Oreochromis niloticus: one gene and its partner. The protein of the gene in region 1 purifies or fractionates together with the protein of each later gene. This does not show direct contact. Links are inferred from orthologs where the notes say so. Each region holds a gene or a part of one and is shown in the gene's direction. Other genes may lie near its edges.

Region 1 (7,551 bases):
GCATGCATAAGTGGCTAAGTGAAGGTTTTTAATCCACATAGAAGTCTATGTAACGTGTTGATTGTGAATTTCTGTTCAGGAACGTCCACTCCAGATCAGCTGCCAGGGTCACGATTGAGACCATGAAGGAACAAGGTGGGTGTTCGATTCCAGCGAACCATCCAGACATCTGAACGTTATCTCATGTTCTGTTTTTCTGTCAGGCATCAGCCGAGCTCTGCTTCATAACTTTGCGGGGAAGCCATCGGTCGCTCTGGAAGGTGTGAAGGCGGGCTACCTCTTCTCTTTTCCCCCTGCTGTCTGCAGAAGCAAACAGGTGAGATGGGAAGTTTCGTCCTATGGAAAAAAAGTTTTTGCAAATTTTTTGCTGAGTCACCTGCAGAAGCAGAAGCAAACCGGTGAGATGAGAAGTGTCATCCTGTGGAAAAGATTATATAAAATTTTTTGCTGAGTCACCTGAATAAACAGTTTTAATACCGCCACACAGAGATACAAGTTAATCAAGCAGATCCCGTTGGAACACATTTGTCTTGAGACAGACTCTCCTGCCCTCGGGCTTCACCAGCATGTAAGTTTGAAAGGCTTTAAAATCATCATCATATTGAGACACAGCGCCACGAGTGCAGACATGTTTAATCTGTCTTTTGTCTACCAGGTGAGGAATGAGCCCGCCAACATCATCCTACCATGTCGCTACATCACCGATGTCAAAGGTCTCCCTCCAGAAACTGTTCGGCTGGTCACCGCACACAACGCATACAGACTCTTCCCCAAAGCTAAAACACGCTGACAGTGACGTGAGCGTGATTTCGAAATCCAAGGCTCACCCAGTGTGTGACGTCATGGAAAACATAACTCCCTTTACTACTGTCCGCCCCTCAGTGTTTCACTGCGAGGCTCAACGTGAACTTTTTTAAACGCATGATGAATAACACTGCTAACGTTTGAATATCAGAAAGGTTTTTCTTTACTTTTGAGTTTTTTTTGTTTTTTTTTTAAAGTTTCACACAAGCTAGAAGCTTTCTGCAAAGTCTTGCAGATAATTCTAATAATTAATAAGATGTCTTTCTTGACCAAAATGAGTGATGCATAGAAATTATTTTTCAAAAATGAGTTTTTAATATCAGTACTGTCAATAACAAGCACAATCAAATGTCTCAAGACCTCATGCGTCATGATCTCCAGCATATTTGGGGTTTTGTATTACGTCAGATATTAGTCATGAAAATAAAATACTGAAAGTTGCCCCACGTCTGGGTCCCAGGTGTATCTGTAGTAAGAGCTCAGGTCATCTTCTAAGGCTGCAGCTCTCTAGACCAGGTGAGTTTTGTCTGGAAGAGAAGAGACAGATCTCAGGAGTCAACAGCTGCGCATTTTCTCTTGGATCACAAATCAAATAATACAGCTGTTCTCAAACAAAGTTCTATTGAACATTGACAAAAAAATACTTAAGTAGAATTTCAGTTAAGTAAAAGCAAGCAGAATAGAATCAGCAAACTCTTGTTTTGTTTTCCTTCATAAATCATTGATACAGCATAGTTCCACCTCATGTTTTTGATAAATATGTTTATGTCAGCCTGATCAAGACATGCAGAAATTAAGTGGTGCACTACAGATTTTCTACTTTAAGCCAATTAACTACAGTACAAGTGGTAAATTTGCATTAGATGATTGTCTGGGTAAGTGGTGTGAAACTCATTTTACTTTGTGGGCTGCATATCATCAATTTAACGTCAAGGAGACTGGACTGGTAAAAACACTGCATCAATTTTTTATTTTTTTTTTGCACAAACTGATAATAACATGCCTCAGTTTTTCCTTTTTCAGTCTGCTGTTAGGGCGAAGAAAGGCTTCAACGTGGCTCCTAGGTGTAAGTGGGTTAGTAAGGTGTTGTATGACACATTGTGGGTAAAGTCTTTTAATAAGAAGGCTGGGAAACTGACCATGATTCAAGCTTGAGGCTCAGATTTAGCACGTTAAACAGCCATGCTCTCCTTTTCTGCAAAATCATCCACTGAGGTGGAAAGGACCTACTGAGGCTGGGTCTGTCCCCAAACACATGTGGGCCACATGTTTGACAACAGCAGTCATAAAACGGGTGACCTGTAGGGTCCTAATGTAATGGCATGTGTGCAAACTATCTCTCATCACTGAAATTTCATTTGTCTGTACTGTGGACCAAATGAAGCTACTAAACAAATTTCATCTTTAATAGTGTAATAAGGGAAATTGAAATATCTGGCAAGTAGGGTTCTTTGATAAACTAAATTGTGGAATAGGATCTTACATGATTGCTGTAGTTTTAAAATACTGAGTCTTTCAGCCTTTTAGAATGTAATTACCTAATTAAATATTAATATCTTTAAAGTATTTGGGACACACACACACACAGTTTCTTGTGTCCATATCAGATCTACAGAAATATTTCTGTGAAATCTTAAGACAAGCCTTCTTACAGCCCTCCTCGAAGTGCCTTCTCTCGGGGAGCTTGACGGGGGCAGGCCGCTGGGTGCAGGCCTCTCTGCGCTGCGGTCCGCCGGTCAGAGCTGTAAGGAGAACCGGGCTGGTCTTCAAGTGACTCCGGTAATGTCTCCTCTGGGATCTCTCCCAGCCCTGCCGGGGGTCCATCTCCACCTGACACCACGTCTCCCTGCTCTGATTCAGCTCGAGCAGAGCCCGCTCCTCATACCCGGACATTACTTTTTACCTTTGTAGGAAGTATTAATGTGGACTAGATTTCCTTTCATAAATTATCCAAAGGTAAGTTGTGACAATACACTTGTTACCAGGGCAACAAGAAACCGGAAGAGGGGTCTCAAAGACAATTTATTAAGGAGGATGAGCCACTCTGTGGGGAGCGAAAGTAGAACCTCCCTCGCTCCTGGGACCGAGATTACTAGAATGTGGAGTAAGAATCTCACATCAGATATTAAATTTCAAATTTAGTGGGAAGTGTGATCTTAGTTTCCTTTGGTTTTATTATTTTCTTTAGTTGTCAGGCTTTCACAAAAACACTGATATATGAGAAAACAATATATCTTGTACGAGATTCAACCTGTCTTCAACAGTCTGCAGAACCTGTGAAGTCAGCTGCATAAAAACAAAATAAATAAAAAATAAATAAATAGACACAGCTGTGACGTCCGTGGTTTTCTTTTTGTCTGGTATCTTAAAATAGGGACATAGTAAGATTTAGCTGCTTTATGATTTCAAAAGGAGGCAACACGTGGACAGTAGTTTGATTGATCCCACTGAGAAAGGACCTACTTAAAAATAATAATAATTGGGATACTTAGAAGCTCGAGATTTATAAATGATTGCAAGCTGAATATTTACACGTTGTTCAGTGAAGTCAAACAACACTGCACTGCCATTCATTGGAAATGAAAACCAGAGAGGGCTGTGAAATGTTGCTTCCTTTGTATCTTAAAGTCCAGTAAAGAGATCAGCTGTGTGTAGATTTTACTGTAGGTGTGAATCACCTGTAGGATCAGACTTGCTGCTGCATCCAGTCTCACTGGGTCACACTAGGATTAGAGCAGATAATGCTCAGCATATGGACAGGCTACTTTGAGTATATGGAGCAGGCAGCGTAGTTACAGACTAAAGGAACAATTACTGATTAGTTTTATATTTTTTCAATCAGTTCTGTTCATGTTTACTTGTATTCCATTTACAGTATTAGAGGAAGAACCCATACAATCTGATAATCACCATTAAGGTAGGGCTTGGCGACTGTGGTGAGGAAGAACACGGTTTATCCAGGTCTCCCATAGGCTCAGGGAGGCACAACCATCTGTTGTGACCAAAGAAAGAGGATTGTAGATAAAACATAAAATCCACGAGATAGTGGCCAAACATTAGTCACATACAGTAGTGGCATATTAGCAGCAGGAGTAAAAAGAAAAAAAAGGAAATCCTCAGTGCATCATGGGAAGTATCGCAGCACCCTGAGCATACAACAGCATAAATATCACGTGAGTCAAGCGTGCCTGCTCCAGCCCTGCTTTAGACAAAGTAGATTCAAATCTAAAAAGTAGAGGGTGTGTCTATTGCTCCCAAACTGAGCTGTTTCCACGGGAGAGTAGCCTGACAGGCCGTGTTTCTAGGAACCACAGACTTTATGGTACTGAGAGGTCTCACAAGGAGCCCGGATCACATATGAAAATAACTCACTCATCTAATTTAGCAGAAATTAGAAACAGATTCTGAAAAAGTCTAACATCCAGAAACATTTAAATGATCTCGCGTTATTTTTTTGTTACATATTAAAGAGAAGGTGATTTAGTAACGAAACTGACTCGTTTTGACTTCCTAGCAGAGCATTTTCGTTACTAAGTGTCGCATCAGAGCTTCCACGGTTACCATTCACACATACGCCCAGACAGGCAGCACTACTAGATACTACAAGCTCATGCTGCTCTGCTATTGGTTCATCGCTATCGAAAGGCTTCGTGTCAGAGTCGGCTTAAAAGGTAGAGAGACGTATTGAAACCACCAGACAGGGAGAGAGAGAGAGAGAGAATCAAGTGTGTCAGACCGGGAGCAGCACGCTGTTTGACAGAAGCTGGGTATTGTTTTCAAAGGATTGCGACATGTTCGAGTATTTTCATATTTAGGGATGTGTAGTCTGCAGTTGTTCATATTTCAGTCATCTACAGCTCAGCCTTCTTTTTCACAGGTAACCAAATGAGGAAACCTCTCTGTTTCCTGCTCAGCTCGCCTCAGTCGATCATCTCTGGACTCAGCATCACACAAAAAGAGCAAAAGGCTGCGAACACGCATCATGGTCGCCGGTGAGCTCGTGCAGGAGCATCTGCGCGCGGGTACCGGCGCACCTGACGACATCACGGTCGGCAGGAAGGAGCCGGAGGACGAGGAACGGCACGCGGAGCGGCCACACGGAGCGGCGCACGCGGGCGGGGCCGGGGAGACAGGCTCAAAGCGCGCGCAGGAGCTGGAGGAGGACAAGGAGGCTCCGCCTGATGAAAGAGAGGTGATGCTACCCAACGGAGGAGGAGGAGGAGAAGGCGAGGCGGAGGAGGAGGAAGAGAAAAGGCTGGAGACCAGGGTGTACGCCCGCCGGTTCGCCGTGCTGGCCGTTTTCAGCCTGTACTCCCTCGTGAACGCCTTCCAGTGGATCCAGTACAGCATTATCACCAACGTGTTCACGCAGTACTACGGGGTGACCAACGACAAGGTGGACTGGCTCTCCATCGTCTACATGGTGGCCTACGTGCCGCTCATCTTCCCCGCCACCTGGCTGCTGGACCGAAAGGGTCTGCGCTTAACGGCCCTGCTGGGCGCCGGCCTCAACTGCGCCGGCGCCTGGCTGAAATGCGCGAGCGTGAACCCCCAGCTGTTCGCAGTCACCGTCACCGCGCAGGTCATCTGCTCCGTGGCGCAGGTGTTCATCCTCGGCCTGCCTTCCCGCGTGGCCTCGGTGTGGTTCGGACCCCGAGAGGTTTCCACCGCGTGCGCCACGGCAGTACTCGGAAACCAGGTTAGCGCGTGCGCGTGTCACAGATTATTGATAGGTTAGGTTTGTGTGGAGTTTAGTGAGCAGACCGAGTCAGGGGGGAAGAGAGACGTGATTCTATTTTAGTGATCATTCAGTTTTTACAGTAAATAAACAACAAACACAATAATAACAGCCAAGAATTCACTGACAATTATTGACCCCCCAAAAATTATTGTACCCACGAACGAATAGTCTAAATTCCAACATTTTCATTACTAGTAATAGAAAAATGAGAAAAACTAGGGACTCATGGAACATAATACTACTAATAAAACCTAAGAATAGGCCTATAGTAGATGAAAAATAATTCCTTAGCCACAGCCAGCTAATGGACAACACTATCATCACCAGATCATCAGCTCTTTATATGCTCAGTTTATCAATAGTAATATTTGTGTGAGTAAATAATCTCTTCTCTCTCTTCCTGTGCCTTGTGTTTGTAGTTGGGGACAGCCATTGGCTTCTTGTTGCCTCCTGTTTTGGTTCCTAACACCCCTGATAATGTTGAACTCACAGGTCACAACATCATGATTATGTTCTACGGTACAGCTGCCGTCTCCACGGTCCTCTTCGTCCTGGCAGTGATAGGTACACATTTAATATCACTCAGTCACACGCTGGCTTACATTATGCAAAGCAGCATAGGTTTTCTTGGTACTGCCAAATGTTTCAGTTGCCAGGGAGTGGTGCTCAGACTCAGACTTCTGTTGTGTACATGTGGACAGAGGCCTGCAGGTACAAAAGAACACTGGCACACCTCTGCTTCCTGGTACACAGGTGTGCAAGTGTGCTTTTGCACATCTAAGGGCCAGGTTGTCTTCTTGAGACTAAGATTATTGTAAATATTCTCAAAAACACTAAGCATCCAGTTCAGGATCATGAATTTGGGTTTGAGATTAAGATTCTGCATCATTCTGTAAACTGGGGTGTAAATAGTAAGTGTCTTTAAATAGCTATGACACGGTATGTAAACACACAGTGTTGAAACTGCAGCTGGTTTAAAACGAGCCAATCAAGAGATGAGATATTACCCGAGTTCCATTGCAGTAATTTCAGGAACTCCTGGTTTTGGCAGCAGTTCAGTCATTTCAAACTGCTGAGGCAGCTGACTTCCTGAAACTACCTCAGACTCTATAACACATCTTTGAATTGAGTCAAAAATAATCTAAATAAATCATTTATCATTCAAAATGTGGGTTGTATGTATGCAGATGTGTAGTCATTACATTTGATACCACATATCAATCATTTTCTAACTTTTCTGGTTCTTGTATGCTCACAGAGGCTCTGATTTATTTTCTTCTCACATAAAAGGTCCATCACTTCACTCTTTCTGCCTTTTCCACAGTCATAAAAGACAGACCTCCTCTCCCTCCCAGTCAAGCACAGGCTGTCTTACCAGACTCCCCTCCTGAAGATTACTCCTACAAACAGTCCATCCTCAACCTGGTGAAGAATAAAGCCTTTGTCCTGCTCCTCATCACCTATGGTAAGTGTAAAACACCTGATTTTTACATTGTTTGTCTTTATTTTTGGTAACATTATGGAGACTCTTTCAGGTCAGCAGATCTAATAGATTAGCATTACTCAAAACAAACCCTGGCTACACTCACTACTACACACTACTACGATCATTACCTCTGTTATCCTGACTTACAGCCTATGCTATTATAATCATGATGAATAGTAGCAACTTCTTCTCACCCACCATCATCACCTATACAGATTATCATTACAATGTCACAACCTTATCACTATAAAGTTACCCCAGATAGTAGCATTACCCATAGTACTGCTACACATATTTTCTTTCATTTGGTATGCTTTCCTTTTATGCTAAAATTGCTCCTCTATGCACACCTCTATTTCTGCATTCTTAGAAAACAGCCGACCGCTGTCTCACATTTGATAAGCTTCATTAAACAAACAGTGTGGCACCAAGGTTGAATTTCATAACCTTTTTTTGCTAGTGTGTAAATTTCAAGATCCTTGGGGCGATTTGTTCTAAAGAGAGCAGCACTGGGCCACTT
Region 2 (6,918 bases), on another chromosome or scaffold:
CTGGGCCATCTGACCTCAGGAATTCACATGACAAGGTGGGGCCAGGTTTCACAATGAGCTCACCCGAAACCCTGGCTGATTAGGTCCCACACCCACTTTCACACCTTGGCTCATGTGATTAGAGGATCACCAGGGGGTCCTTTGTCCCTCTTTGGGGGGATACTCCCACTGGGTTTAAATCTGGGACTCTCGGCCATTTGACCTTAGAACTGAAGAAGCTTCTCGGATGAGAGGTGAAACGTCTTCAAGCAACTTAAAGAAGTCCAGACGCTTTTCTTTGCAAATTCCTTTGATGTCTATATTAAAACTATATTAAAACTCAAACATGGTAAAGATGTCTCTCTCATTTTTCCAATATAAATTTTTGGACTCCTCATTTTCATTCAGCATTTATCTTTCAGAAGAAGAGCAAAGTGTTTTCATTTCATTCATGCAGCCTTGTGGCCTGGCAGGAATCTTTTTCTTTTTCTTTTCTTTTTTTTTTTTTTATGGCCCAGAAGAGACGATGTGTTCTTGGTGCCATTACGACCCATAAAGTCATTTGAAATTGGTACATGGTGTCCTCCCTGAGGATTATCAGAGACAACTTGGAAAAAGATGTCTGTGGGTTTTTGTCTGTTGTTTTTGGGGGGTGGGGTGTAACAAATACTGTGTGCCTCATTTGTTTAAGAGAAAAAAAATCAGCCCCTACCTGTAGAAACTGTGGTTTCCATTAAATCTTCTGTAGGGTTCTACATTTTTTTTTTTTTTTTTTTGTTTGTGTTTTTTTGCACAATCCCTTTTAAATTTGATGAATTGAGAAAGAATAAACCGATGATACCTCTGAATATTGCTTAAATCTAGATTGTTTTTTCTTACTAAGCTATTTATGAACTTTATTTGTTTCAGAGGACTACCAGGAGTTGATAGAAGACATCGTCAGAGATGGAAGATTATATGCTTCAGAGCATCACCAGGAAATACTTAAGGTATCGGGATTTTATAATTATATTATACAAATGTTTAACAGGGAGTATTTTGGTCTCCAGCCTGAGTAGGTCTAAAATACCTAAAACCATTAGTGTAAGCTGTATATATTTACATTTATCCATTACTTTCATCTTTTAAAGCTCTGCATTCCTGACTTATTTTACCTGCTCATTAAGAGTTTTAGCTATTTTATCTCATGGGCTATTTTCAGCTGACCATTTAGACTTTATTAGTGTTAGTGGTTTGGATCCAGTGACCGTGTAGCACCCTCTTTTGGGAACAAGTAGAAATACAGAGTACTGCTCACATTAACCCATAAGAGCCCTGACCCATTTTATTGTCAGGAAAACTGAGAGAGAAGTGTTGAAACTTTATTGGAACTTCCCTCTGTGTGTAAAGGGACAGTGACACCTGTGTCACTGTGGTTTCTTATGGGTAAAAATTACATACTGTAAGGAATTCTTTTGGATAACACACTTCTTTTTTCCCCCCCTCAGGACAAGAAGCTCATGAAGGCACTGTTTGACGTGCTGGCTCACCCACAAAACTTCTTCAACTATACAGCGCAAGAATCAAGAGAAATGTTCCCCAAATCCTTCATTCGCTTCCTGCGGTCCAAAGTCCTGAGGTTCCTCCGTCCTTAAAAAAAAAAAAATAATTAAATTAAAAAAAAGTTGCCACAAGGTTCCAGGATTTTTCATAATAAGAGGGTCCAGTTTCTAATTTAAGCTTATGTGTTTTATCAATTGCCCCCTGCGCATTCTAAGGTTATGTGTTGGACGAGAGGACGGCACCTGATGAAACGATCCCAATGGAAAAGTGACATTTTTAACTGAGGAAGTGGTACAAACCTAGATCTATATGGGCTTCCTCGGAGAGGAATTAGGAGATCTCATTTGGAAAATACTTATAACAGCAGATGAATGACATTATACGACCCTTTAAATTTTAAAGTTGGGATTTAAATTCCAAGTCCAAATTGGGTATTTGAATGTTGAGAAATACTGTACATGCCGGCATTATGGGACTCTTTAATTGCATTTGGATGAAAAACAAATATGACAGACGAACAGATATATGCTGAATGTCAGTAACACTGTATATAGGTTTAGGTTTAACATTTAGTTTTTTAACATGGCCTGCACAGGTAGGCATGAAATACTGCAAAAATGTCAGGAACAAATAGCGCGCACACACGTTTTCTTGGGGAAATTAGCACTGCAAAAGAAGTAGCCCTGCCACAAAAGCAATTATTTTGATGAATGTCTTGTATATGATGTAAAAAGTTTTAGGTGAAACGCTAATGTTTTGTAGCAGCTACATACATTTTAATGGTATAGCATGGCTGCATTTGCTGTTGGCTCACGTATTTGGTCTTCTCAGGCAGCGGTCCCCAACCCCCGGGCCTCGGACCGGTACCGGGCCGCGAGAGTTGAGGCTCGGGTGTGAAATGTATTGTTTTTATCGGTTTTCAGCGTTATTTTGTTATCGTTTTTATCGTTAACTCGGTTTTCCTGGGTCTTTTCACGTGTGTTGTGAATAAATCTTCTTTTTTTCGGTACCGGTACTAGTTTTGTTTTGTTGTGTTTATCCGCGACACCTTAAAGGCCGGTCCGTGAAAATATTGTCGGGCATAAACCGGTCCGTGGCGCAAAAAAGGTTGGGGACCGCTGCTCTAAGGTGTCTGGATGAGCACTGCCGTTCTTTAAAAAACACTTTTTCCTTTCCAAAACTAGTCACAAGACAATGACTGCTTCAGCTAGGTCACTAGCAACCAAAGACAACTAATTACTCTGCTGAGAAACCGAACAATTTGTGATGCCATGAATACATGAAAAGTTCTGTAAAATAGAAGTAAACTATATTTACCTGTCCTAGATGAAACAAGTATGTATATTTTTATGATTTTGTACATCGAATGTGCTGTAAATAAAGACCGGAAACTGATTTCCACCACTTTCAACCACTTTTTCTTATTTCTATACAAGTTCATGTGTTTTTATATGTTTAACACCTCCAGAGGAATAATAAAGTTGGTCTTTATTAAGTATTATTATTATTGAGTTAGTATGTAGAACGTTTGAGATAAAATGCTTGCAAGAAAAATAACATGATTATTTTATCAAAAATGATATGGAGACGGGGATAAACTAGAGTAATTAGACTAACGAGGTTGCACATAATTTGGAATTATCGTTGTTTTTTTCAGTGATGAAATTATCCAATCTTCCATAGTTATAAAGGCCATTTTACAGTTGCAGGACATTTTCTATCAACCCCATTAATTCGAAAATAATCTATATGAAAAAGTGGTTCGAAAATATTATTTATAATGCAAAATAGTTCTTGAGCACTAGTGTAAATGCTAAAAAAGAATTATAAAGAAATTATAAAAATAAATAGTCGATTTGTTTATTTATCTTAGCGTTTTAATTGAGTTGCGCTTTTATGTATATAGCGCCAAAACACAAGGCACTTTACCCTAACCCTGCCCTAAGGTAAAGACTCTACAATGATAATATAAAAATTGTCTTCCAAGAAGAATGACCCGCCTGGTGTTCCCCGGACCAGAGTTTGATACACCTGCTGTTTACGAGCGTGTCGAACCGAAGGGTGCGTTCGATTTAATTTCACGTCCTCAGCGGTTCAGTTTACTTTTAGGGTTTTTGTTTGTTTGTTTGTTTTTGTAGAAATATAACCCAATTAATTGAAAGTAACTGGTTTAAATGTTGGATAATATTTCGAACAACCTTTGATGGGCGACAAACAAGCAGCTATTTGGCATTATCTGAACTTTCCCGCGCCGGGACATCGTTTATTATGTCATTAACCAAGCACGGCCGGCTCAGCACTGTGTGCGGAAGACAACCGCCATTTCCGGAAATTACAAGTCAGCTGCTAGGAAGCTGACGATTGTTGCTGTTTAGTTAGCTTGATGGCTAATCTCGTCAGTTGTTAGGGTTTGCTTCACACTGCTGGAGCTGTTCGTGGAAACATTTGGACCTGTGTTGTTAACGAGCTGCACTCCTGTAAACATGAAGTGGGTGTTTTTTATCGAGGCTCTCTTCCTGGCTTGTTTTGTGCTGCTGAGCCAAGTGACAGCGAAGGTAAGGCTGACGTTAGCACGCTTAGCTAGCTATGTGGAGGAAATGGTGATGATGGCTGGATGAAATGAAATGGCTTTTCTTTAAATCTCCTCTAAACGATGACTTGTCGCTGTGGGTTTGACAGCTGGATGTCAGAAAAGTTAACTAATGCGCGAATGTGGCTGCTATGTTTGCTGGTTGATGATGAGGATGTAGAACAGAAAAAAAGAGGCTATTTATCCCGAAATTGGGAAGTTCCTGTGTTGACAGCGGCCAAAACACTAAACACAAAGCTGGATAAAATACATTACGACAGTACGAAAGGGGTCAGTAAGGTAGGAGCACAGTTAAATAGAGAAAAGTGAAGGAGTTAAATATCTAAATAAAATAATGACACTCCATCTAAAAGTGAGTAAAAACAAAAGATGCGGGTATTGTCACGTGATCGTACTGAATGCGTGTGAGATCTGTAACCTGTATCGACATAACTATAATAACTAGTGTTATGGTTGAGAAAGCAGGTTCAACAAACTGTGTCTGACCATAAAGTCTGAGTTGATTACCTCTCACACGGGCAACTCTTGAGTTTTAAGTTCGAGAAAGCCAGAGTTCAACTGCCTGAGTTTGTTCACCCCAGAGTTTAATTGCTTCAATGCAGGCTCTCCATTTAAATCCATCTATCTTAAAAACAACATCGCGGCATTTTATTCAGCATCGTCCACTCAGTCATCATTTACTCAGGTTTACTTTTCATTAACAGATCAATCCTAACAAACACACTCCTGGTTTTACTAATTTGATGGCTGATAGAAGCTGTTATTACATGAAAATTTAAAAAATAAAAAAGAGACAAGCAACATCCTTCTGCCATGTTATGGGTGTTGATGTTGCATAGTTTGTCCATCAGAGGGCACTATACGTCTTCCCTGTTGGCAACACTGATTGAAACAGCACAAACACAACAATCAGCTAATCTGAGCAGAGCTGGGCAGAATGTAAACGAGTAAATAAATAACCACACGAAAAAATGTTAATGAATCTGTTTACGTTTTCTTTGTGTGAAAGAAAAGGAAATCATCCGATAAATCAGAATGTCAGATTACTAAATGACTAAATATAAGTATTGGGCTTAAAAATCCTCCAACTTTATTTTGGTGTGATTTGCATAATAATGAAATGTGTAGGCTTTTGTGTACCAAATATTGTGCAAATGTGTTTGAGAAACAAAAAAAATAAACATTTGCTGTCTCTGTTGCAGAATTCAGAGGACATCCGCTGTAAATGCATCTGTCCGCCGTACCGAGAAGTTGAGGGTCAAATCTACAAACAAAATGTCTCTCTTAAGGACTGGTATGCTAACAAAGCCGTCACTGTGTTTCTCTCATTGATGCAAGCTGTCCTTGGTCTGTTTAGCTGAAAAGCTGAAAGCTTGTTAATTTTAATGTTTTGTCAGCAACTGTCTCCACGTGGTTGATCCCATGCCAGTGGACGGGAAAGATGTGGAGGCGTACTGTTTACGCTGTGAGTGTAAATATGAAGAGAGGAGCTCGGGGACCATTAAGGTAAGTTCAAGTTGGGTCAAAGAGTCGTGGTTGTTTTTTCTTTGCTGTGACGTAGGGCTGTATCTAATGATTGAGTTTTAGTTTTATAGTTTTATCGTCCTTTTATTCTGACGCCTCTTTTTTTTGTCTAAAGCAAAATGCAAAAATGAAAAACAGCCAGCCTATCATGTGACTCATGCTGTGTGTGACTTAATGGATTATTGTTCAGCTTAGAGGACACCTGATTATTTTTTTTTTCTAGGAAACGAGCAATCCCACAGTAATTGTTTCTTATTTTCAGTTTACCATCATAATGTACCTGTCCATTTTGGGCCTGCTGCTGCTCTACATGGTCTACCTGACTCTCCTGGAGCCCATGTTGAAGAGGCGCCTGTTTGGGCACTCGCAGCTTATACAGAGCGACGATGACGTTGGGGTATGTGGTCCCTTTAATTTTACAGCACTCTACCTGAGAAACTAGCATTGTTGTATAGTTTTTTTTTTTTTCACTGCTGCTGCGCCACTCTTCTGCTCCTTTTATGAGGATTTTTATGTGGACCCATTGGCCGAAATGTCACATGGGAGTCATCCTTTGTAGGTAAACTTTAAAAGTTTACAAGTGCCTGTGTTAATTTTCAAACCCTTTTTTTGTGCTGTGCTGTGCTGAAAATGCCTCAAGGGAATCTGAACGCATGTTTCAAGCAAAGACTGGAGAACACGGTAGTTACTACAATCGCAGGCAAACACGGGAGCAGGGAGGATCTAAAACAAGCTGTAACTACCTTCTGTTCACAACGTAGTTAAAAGAAACCCGATGACAGCTGCTACATTACTGATGGGGAAATCCTGATTATTTATAAGAACATGGGCATGACAAAGATCTGGGACAGGAAGTGTGGTTGTGGTGCAGCGGGTGAGAACACAACCTATAGATGTTTGTCACAGGAGCACAACTGTAAAATTAGAAAAATACAAAGTGACAGTACTAAGTAGAAGTCTGTAAACTCGGCCTCACTATCATCAGATGATGTGAAAAAGTAGTGGTGAAGCTTTAGGTTTCCTGCTGCTGCAGATTCACGTGAAAATAATTTAATTTGTGAAATATGAGTTGACCCTTACTGTAACATACTCACAGGAAATGCAGTGTATGGGTCAGTAAGCTTAGCACTTACTGCTATCGTTCATCAGGATGAGCTGATGCTCATTTTCTGCATTTTTTCCACTGTGGAAACGATTAAAATGAATGAAGAGCTTCACTCGGCAGGAAGGAAACGAATTCCTCTGAGAGATGACCAACTCCTGTCAATATTCCCAGCTGTTTA

Evidence for each region. Proteins that work in one complex are often made in the same cells at the same time.
Region 2: the proteins of flvcr1 (region 1) and tmem9b purify together in Homo sapiens (co-immunoprecipitation; 3 studies listed by BioGRID and IntAct, counting the BioPlex papers as one, with this or other methods). This does not show direct contact. The link is inferred for Oreochromis niloticus from reciprocal best matches to the Homo sapiens genes FLVCR1 and TMEM9B.

What each region holds. Positions count from the first base shown.
Region 1 is NC_031980.2:22,516,753-22,524,303, reverse strand, and holds the start of flvcr1 (choline/ethanolamine transporter FLVCR1), read left to right. Parts: upstream 1-4,447; 5' UTR 4,448-4,571; exon of another isoform or gene 4,572-4,681; 5' UTR 4,682-4,786; coding exon 4,787-5,503; intron 5,504-5,964; coding exon 5,965-6,109; intron 6,110-6,869; coding exon 6,870-7,010; intron 7,011-7,551. Other genes in the region: putative deoxyribonuclease tatdn3, read left to right, coding at 80-135, 204-316, 488-568, 656-790; spata45 (spermatogenesis-associated protein 45), read right to left, coding at 1,312-1,331, 2,457-2,697.
Region 2 is NC_031965.2:20,257,166-20,264,083, reverse strand, and holds the start of tmem9b (transmembrane protein 9B), read left to right. Parts: upstream 1-3,815; 5' UTR 3,816-4,004; coding exon 4,005-4,076; intron 4,077-5,313; coding exon 5,314-5,405; intron 5,406-5,508; coding exon 5,509-5,617; intron 5,618-5,897; coding exon 5,898-6,032; intron 6,033-6,918. Other genes in the region: scube2 (signal peptide, CUB and EGF-like domain-containing protein 2), read left to right, coding at 889-968, 1,467-1,613. UniProt on the Homo sapiens protein: Enhances production of pro-inflammatory cytokines induced by TNF, IL1B, and TLR ligands. Has a role in TNF activation of both the NF-kappaB and MAPK pathways.